Linked DNA regions of Danio rerio. Each later gene encodes a partner of the first gene's protein in a complex. Links are inferred from orthologs where the notes say so. Each region holds a gene or a part of one and is shown on either strand. Other genes may lie near its edges.

Region 1 (4,552 bases):
TATTAACAAGGTCGCTGCAGACTTTTGGATCAGTTTAATTGAAGTATACCACTATCTCATCTGCAGTAAAGTAAAGGAAAAACATTTAACAAAATGGTAACTTCTAATGGTATGCAGTTGAAGTCAGAATTATTAGGCCCCCTTTGAATTTTTTTTCTTTTTTAAATATTTCCCAAATGATGTTTGACAGAGCAAAACAAATTTTCACAGTATGTCTGATAATACTTTTTCTTCTAGAGAAATTCTTAATTGTTTTATTTTGGCTAATATAAAAGTAGCTTTTAATTTATTAAAATCCATTTTAGGGACAAAATTATTAGCCCCTTTAAGCTATATTTTTTTTCGATAGTCTACTACAGAACAAACCATTATTATGCAATGATTTGCCTAATTACCCTAACCTGCCTAGTTAACCTTATTAACCTAGTTAAGCTTTTAAATATCACTTTAAGCTGTATAAGTGTCTTAAAAATATATCTAGTAAAATATTATTTACTGTCATCAAGGCAAAGTTAAAATAAATCAGCTATTAGCGATGAGTTATTAAAACTATTATGATTAGAAATGTAAACAGAAATGTAAAGAAATGTTAACTTTCCGTAAACAGAAATTAAGGAAAAAATAAACAAGGGGTCTAATAATTCAGGAGGGCTAATAATTCTGACTTCAACTGTATTAGAATTTTAGACCCTTATTATAATACTAATACATGCGGGATAATCTGTAAATGTAATTATTGTTATAATTATTATATTAAATTATCTTATTATTATATTAAAACCACAATGAATTTACAAAACTAATATTGATATATATTGATGTTTTGTGTTTCAAACATTTAACTACACAAAGTAAATTTTTCTGTTATTTTGCTCAAAGATCAGCATTGTGCATCATGTCACATATTCATATCATTACAAGGACTTATTTGTAATTTGATAATAATCACACTAAATCCTACGGCATTATCACCGTTGCATAGGAATTACTTAAAAACTTGTCAACATAATTTTTTCTCCTATTTTGTGCTTACAGGCGATGGCAACAAAGGTTAATTTATTTTTACATTTTTAAATTAGATCTTTATTTTGATTCTATTTTTAAGTTTGCTATAAATTTCAGTTTAGTTGTGGTTTTGTTAGTTTTTGTTTAGGTTTTATTTTGTAAACACATTTCTATTTAGTTTTCATATATTTAGTTTCTGTAATTGTAGAATACATTAATAAATTAACAGTTAAAAGAACATGTCCAGCAAAGTTTAATGTTTGGACAGTTTACATGATCTCTTCTGCAAACCTCTTAGTAATGAATATAAAATAATGAATACTAAACCAAACACCAATACATAAATACGAATGCCACTTAAAATAATCAAATAAAAGCAAACTTTGTATTATAAAGAAATGATGAACCTCTTCATGCTAAAGATCACATATTTAGTTAAGCTTGCCTAGTTTACATTTTGGCAGATGAAGAATAGACAGGGCACATGTACTATTTACTGAGATGTTTGTGTATTGATGAGTTTGACTTTGTCTTTTGGTTGTAAAAGCGCCATCTACAGGTATGTCTATAAACAGCCACATGTCAGAATGAAACAATTAACTTTTTTGCTAAATGTTATTTCATGTTTTTCAGTGACTATTGTTTGTTTTAGCTGTTCATTTATTGTGAATATTTTATTTATTTTGGCTAAAAAAAATATGTTTTTGAACGATAGATTTAGTCTTAGTTTTAGCTTTCATTTAGCTGCTAAAACAAACTTGCAATGGAGAGTTTTCATTTTAAGCCCTGAATACAACTATTTCAGCTCTGAAGGGAAAGTTTCTACCTTACAAAATTGCTTACAACAAGCAGAGTTATACATGATACAACTTGTGGTGGTGTTCGCTGAGATGTTAGCACTGTGAATACTTGAAATGTCTACCAGAGGGCCAGTTTACTGAAATCTTGTCTACCTTCATTCCACGACTAATTGTAAGTATAGCTGAAGTACCTGATAGTCATAGCCGGTGCTGAAAATGATGTTGTTGGCAGTGGGATGCCACTCAATGAGGCCTACACGTCGAGAATGACCCTGCAGCTCTTTCCAAGGCACTGTGATGGTCTTCAAAACACCATGTTCAGGGATTTCCCAGATTTTCACCTGAACAGCAAACATGCACACACATCATAAAGTTGTAAAAATGTGAGAACAAAGTTACAGAATATCAAAGGTACCCATCTAAATTCAGCTACTGGATTGTATGTAGAAGTTTTAAGTCTGAAAGGCAAAGAACTATGCACAATGTGTTCAATTCCAGGTTTTTAATGAGTTGAGTCTTTGACTCCTTTTACTTTACATCAAAACCAGTAATAATACTCTAATACTTAAGTTATTATTGCACATTTAATATATTTTTACATTTTTTTACCAGCCCAATCTCACTAGGAAATATAACTATTTTAAATATTGTTTAAAAAGTCCCACAAAATAAACCTAACCCTCATTGGGGATGAGCACATTGTGCGAAAATGTACACATAAAGTTATATAAATTAGCAACTTAATCAAAAAGGTACAAATATTGCATTGCTTCTCTTTTAAGAACACTCCCATTCTTAAGCAATACACCATCTTTTAGGATAAATGTTAAATTAGTCAAATTTTGCTGTAGCATTAACTGATAATGATAAACAGCTACTGTATTGCCTTGGTTATTTATATGTTGCCCATGTGTTTTTCTGCTATAGTCAAATATTATCCATGAAGAATAAATACATGAAAAATTGGGTATTCTTTATTTACATTTTCCATCTCAATATTCGGTTTGATTAAGTCTTAAAAACTTCTTAAACACCTTTGATTTTCAAAATAACATGCAGTGGATGTAAAAATTTAGGTAACACTTTAGTTTAAGTACAAAAACTGGTGGCACATGACTACTACTAAGTATCGGCTGTTTATTAGTACTTATTCATTCATTTATTTTCATTTTATTTATTCATTTATTCGGCTTAGTCCCTTTATTAATCTGGGGTCGCCACAGTGGAATGAACCGCCAACTTATCGAGCACATAAAACCCATCACTGGGAAACACCCATATACTCTCATTCAGACACATACAATACACTATGGACAATTTAGCATACCCAATTTACCTGTACCGCATGTCTTTGGGCTTAGGGGGGAAACTGGAGCACCCAAAGGAAACCCACTCGAACACGGGGAGAACATGCAAACTCCACACAGAAATGTCAACTGACCCAGCCGAGGCTCAAACCAGCAACCCTCTTGCTGTGAGGGGACAGCACTACTTAATGCGCCACCGCGTCGCCCTATTAGTACTTATAAAGCACATATCCTACATGAATTTATTCCACAACCGTAACCTAACAAACTTATTACTATTAATAGCTACGATTAGAATTTATTGAGGCAAATCCAAAGTTAAATGTTTATTAACAGTGAAAATTGTACATTAAAATAAAGTGTTTTAAATGATGTATTTCATTTAAATTATATATTTTATGGGTCAGTTGGCATTTCTGTGTGGAGTTTGCATGTTCCCCCTGTGATCGCGTGGGTGTCCTCCGGATGTTCCAGTTTACCCCACAGTCCAAAGACATGTGGTTTTGTTGAATTAAATAAATCAAACTGGCCATAATGTATGTGTGTGTATAAGTATGGATGTTTCCCAGTACTGGGTTGCAGCCGGAAGGGCATCCGCTGTGTAAAACATATTCTTGATAAGTTGGTGGTTCATTCCACTGTGGTGAGCCCAGAAGAATAAAGGGACTAAGTCGAAGGAAAATGAATGAATGAATTTAAATTCAAATAATAGAAAACCAGATGCATGCTATATTATGTTACATTAAAATAACATACGTTAAAATGCAAAGCTATCATAGAGGTGTGCATAATTACAAAGTAGTCAACATGACTGTTGTTTATTTCTAAAGTTTCCTTCATGTAGAACAAAGAAGTTTTGCTCAATCTCTGTTTGAATTGTTTGAATTCCTGGCTTCATTTCAGTTGTTTATCATTGATTATTTGCATTTAACAGCTATGCACTACATACACATTAGATGATTAGTGAACAAATGTCAGACGTCGATTCTAGTGCTGGAGTTAAGTGCACCAGGGCTCTTCAAAGTGGAGGAATCAAATCTTTGGAGTCGAAGTTTGTTTACACTTACTGTGGCGTCCTCTGAACAAGATGCTATGCAGAAGTCATTAAAGTGATTCCATTTGATGTCAAGTACATTCCCTCTGTGACCAGAAACCTTTGGATGATGAGGGTCAACCTTGCCAGTCTGTAAAGACACAAAAATGGTCCATTATTTTTGTAAATTTGCATTGAATACAATCATGAGGTTATGGTTTAAGATATTTCCTACATGACCATGTTAGTCTTTCCATGCTGATAAAAGGATTTAAACTGTAAAAGTGATAACCTGCTGTTGTTTTCTTTTGTTGACTATTTCATTATTTTTTTTGCAATTATAGCTTATGGTATTGAAGTGTGCGGCTGAATGCTAGATGATGTTTAGCACTGTTCAAAGACTTAGG
Region 2 (4,552 bases), on another chromosome or scaffold:
ATGGCTATTTGCCATGGTGGTAAAACCTCTGCCCTGATTGGCTGTGAGAGAGGTAGGCGTGGCGAGGGGTTGCTTGAGAGGAGCTTTGAAACGTAGCCTGTAGAGCAAAAGGAGAAACAAAATAAAGTCACTTCAGTAGTTCCTAAAGATATGAAATATACTTGTGTTGGTGGCCGGATTAAAGCACACCATTTACCCGCATGACAAAAATATACTACAATATATGACAAAAAAATTAAGTTAACAACAATAATTGTATTTATAATGAGACGATTTCTTTTCGATGAGTGAAAAAAGACTGTTGGAATAAAAAAGAAATTCACCATTTCTCCTACATTTATGCTATTCAGGAGCCATGTGCACCCATTGGCGGGTAAAGTCTGCTTCTTTCAGGTTCAAAGTAAACTTGAATGGCAAAGCATTTTAGATATGTATATAGAATAGCCTATGTAATAGATTAACATAAAATAAATGAGAAATAAATGACAGAAAAGGGAATAAAAACAGACAATACTCTAAAAATAATCAAAATGACAAGATTAAAATATGTAGATTAACCAAATGTGTTGATTAATCATTACTAAAGGTGTTCATATATTTTGCAGCCAGATTAGAGCAGTCATTTCATCCTCTTTGAGTCTATAGGAAAGTTTTTCTGAGTCGCTTAGACTTTTAAAAATAAATTATTTAATGTTTCTCTCACGACAAGCCAAGCGAAAGTAGGCTTAAGTTAGAAGTTAATGCAAAAAGGCATACAAGTTTTCAAAAGCCAAATCAAAAGATGAATCCTGGACATTTTAGGAGATTTAGACGAATTTAAGTGCCAAAAAGGTGCGTCTTTATGGGTCTGCAGAGCACGTGAGACTGTCTGTGGGAGTGTTGACAGTTCACGCAAGTGAAGAAGATTTTCCAGTACTTAATTGATCGCAGATGTTTGGTTATGTTGCGCAGATACAAAAAAAAAAAAAAAAAAACGTATAAAAAGATCATAATAATAGTAAAAAAAATATGTGTCACTAGTTATACCTGGGCAGCCGCTCAAGTAAAGTTTGTGTGGGAAGCACTGCACTTTCTTTATACATACATACATACAGTGCTGTGCAAAAGTGTTAGGCCACTAGTATTTTCACCAAAAAAAAAAAAAAGGTTTAAAGTTGGTTATTTCTTTATTTTTCTGTCGCATGTCAGTTTGAAATATAAAGCTACCTGAAAAACTATGGGCAAGTGTATCAAGTGTTTTAAATGCAAAGTTTTGTCATACCAAATGTTAATTTGGTTAATTTACTAAAATATATTAATGCGTCCACCTTTAAAATGTGGTTGTCTCAAGTATATGCATTATTTCCACTTGGAAATGGAAATAGATTTTTCAAACTGACAAAAATATAGAAATAACTGACGTTAAACTTTTTTTTTTTTTTTTTTGTAAAAATACTAGAAGTCATTTGTTTCTATATTTTTGTCAGTTTGAAAAATCAATTTCCATTTCCAAATATTATTGTTTTCATGAATTGTATTTACACATGGAGAATATTGACTACACAAGGAGTCTGCTAAGAGTCAGTGCTCCACACAGAGATCTGATCTGATCATTATCCAGTCTGTCTTAAATGGCTTCCAGAGAAACAGAACAAACTAAGAGAAACTGAGTTCAGAAGAACTTTGGCAAGATCTCTAAGTTGCTCTAAGATTTTCACAAACAGTACATGTGTGTGAAAATACTGTAAAATGAGGATGCTTTCAAAAAATAATGCATAAGTACATTTTATCAATTAACTTAATTACTAAAGCATGACAAAACTTTGCATTTAAAACATTTGCCCATAGTTTTTCAGGTAGATTTTAAACCTTTTTTGTGGAAATACTAGTGGCCTAAAACTTTTGCACAGCTCTGTACATCACTGGAATACTAAATTCTTCCAGCAATTATTGGTTCATTAAAAAAAAACTATACATTTAGACTTTCTCAGTCAGATATCATACATACTATCATTCAAACTTGTGAGGTTGGTAATATTTTCAAGGTGTAGAGACAATGGGCAAAGTAAAAAAAAAAGTAAATAAAAGAGAGGTATATGTATATCGAAACATAAAAAAACAACAAGAACTGGAGTAATGCATACTTAAAATTCTGTTTAAACAGAATAGGAATAGTTTTATTCATTACATTTAAGTTTTAAAATGGAACCTTTTTTTAAAATAGTAATAAATTATTTCTTTAACCATTTGCTGTGACCTTGCTGAATCAAAATACCTCACTTATTCTATAAACAGTAGTGTATAAATATACATAAATACAAGATATAGTATAAAGAAACTTACTGCATGTGCTTGCTGTGAGGGCGTTCCATGGGAAAATGCACCTGGAGATGCTGGCCTTTGCGAATGTGTATAAGATATGCCAGACTATAAAAAAGAACAGAGCAAAGGTTTTTTTAAATGTTGAACAGGCCACAAAAGCAATACAAAGCATCCATTTTAATCATCTTTACATTAAAACAATTATAGTACAGCAAAGCCTAATATCTCCAATGCTGCAAAATCAAGACTGTGGCAATACAGATTTCATGCGGTGGTTGTGGCTCTGACCTTGCCAGGAGGAATCTGCACAGCAATAGGAGGAGTGGACAGCAAACTCGCAGCGCTGACATGAAGAGCCTGTGGGTGCATGGGCCTCAGGGGACTCTGAAAACATCAATGGGAATCATGCTTTAATTTAATTACACAAACACAGCTGAATCCCTCCACTGAGTTGACGTAGTTTGAAAGAAATGCACTTCCTGACCATCTCCACTTACAGAGTCTGTGAAGCCGGACTGCTGGTTAGCATGTTCCAGCTGTTTCTGAAGGGGAATCCCAGCGCTAGGGATGTAGCCTAGAAAAAGATGGAAAACAAAAGAGTTTGTGTAGCTATCTGCCAAAAAACTGACAGAGGAAATATTACCCCCTAAAAATACAGACTGACTGAGTTCCCCACCTACACCCATTTAACATTGTGTGTGTGTAAGAGAGAGAGAGAGAGGAGGGCTACTCCTATGACAACAGGATGCATATATACATAATATGTAAAAGTTTAGTGAGTGATATAACTCACGTGACCTAGTTTGTTTTGAATGACTAAGCAGATGACGCTCTGGCATGGCTGGAATTCTCAAACTTCAAACTCTCAAAACTTTGGCATTTGCTTGATTTTAGGTTTGCAGAGATTTTGGAATCACAAAATCCTGGAGGGTCTGGTTAACACTTAAAAAAAAAATCATAAAACAAACCAAAGTGACCTTAGATGTTTTAAATTGGGGGGTAGGTCCAGTTTTTGTTTTACTGCTTTCAATAAGCTTGCTAACTAAATAAAGATTGTAGATTATGATTTAAATCTTGCTGCTAAAATGTTGACATTAATGTCAAAAAATTTAACTGAGTGTAGAATTTTATTTTAGTCTTACGACATATTTTTCATTTCTAAAGTGATCTGCATACGCTTCATTTCATTAGTGTAGGTAACGTACCTAAAGCTGTAACTGCAACATTGAATATCATTTTACTTCAAACTAATATTTAAATAAACATTTGATTTCAAAAGAATTCTGTAGCGCAGGGTTTATAAACCTGTGGCACACATGCCACCATTTGCAGAATTACTGCCACATAAACAATAGAAACATTGATTGCAGTTTGTTAAAGGATTTAAAAGCTGTAAATGATGGATATTTTTGGAGCTGCTTTTTGTTTGTTGTTTTAGGCTATACTCACTCAGTTTAGCATTCAGTTTGTGTTAAAGTTCCAATATCTCTATTAAAGAGGTGGTCCAGAGTGTATTTTTAAGGCTTGGATGCATTTATAAAAATGCAAAGCAATGTGTGCTCATGCTTCATTTGTAGAAAATCACGTTACTTTTTCATATATCTTAATTTGATTATATACAGCTACTCAGCTAAAATGAAAACAACTGTCATATTTCCTAGCTCCTCCAAAAGGGCCGCCCTCAAGAGGCTCTGATTGGTCAGCTAATATAATGTGCTGTGATTCGTGTATCGGCTCCACGTCAACAGGAAAAGCGTCACACCTCTACAAGCACGCACTTTGCCTCAGCTGTGTAAATACTGTCCATCAGTTTGTGCCTGAATCAGTCAGAAAATGACACAGAGAAGACAGCTGAACCTCACACCTGCTCTCTAAAGTAAGATCTGACAAGTGTCTTTCACACATATTCAGATGTAGAACGCAGGGAAAGCACCGCATAGAAAGACACTGCAGCGCTGCTGAAAATTGTGGGTGTTTACAGCGGTTTGATGGAAAAATATGAATTTGTAGCTGAATAGTTAATAATGCCAAACAGCATTTCCTGTTGTTACATCCTTGTTTACGTTCTTGCTGTAACATACCCTTAACGCTTGAAACAATGCATATAATTGATCAATTTTAACAAATAAAAACACTTACAGGTTGTGGCTAACAATTCAAAGCAACCCACAAATGCTAGCTATATATTTTTTTAATTCTCTGGAACATAATTAAAATAAACTGTAAGAACTTCTCTCTTTGTGTCGTGTCC

Evidence for each region. The genes of interacting proteins can lie anywhere in the genome.
Region 2: coro2aa (region 1) and gps2 share a complex: the UniProt entries of both Homo sapiens proteins name them as parts of the N-Cor repressor complex. The link is inferred for Danio rerio from reciprocal best matches to the Homo sapiens genes CORO2A and GPS2.

Annotation. Positions count from the first base shown.
Region 1 is NC_133176.1:28,274,095-28,278,646, reverse strand, and holds part of coro2aa (coronin-2A), read right to left. Parts: intron 4,297-4,552; coding exon 4,180-4,296; intron 2,147-4,179; coding exon 1,997-2,146; intron 1-1,996.
Region 2 is NC_133180.1:24,725,677-24,730,228, reverse strand, and holds part of gps2 (G protein pathway suppressor 2), read right to left. Parts: intron 2,876-4,552; coding exon 2,799-2,875; intron 2,686-2,798; coding exon 2,590-2,685; intron 2,407-2,589; coding exon 2,323-2,406; intron 98-2,322; coding exon 5-97; 3' UTR 1-4. UniProt on the Homo sapiens protein: Key regulator of inflammation, lipid metabolism and mitochondrion homeostasis that acts by inhibiting the activity of the ubiquitin-conjugating enzyme UBE2N/Ubc13, thereby inhibiting 'Lys-63'-linked ubiquitination.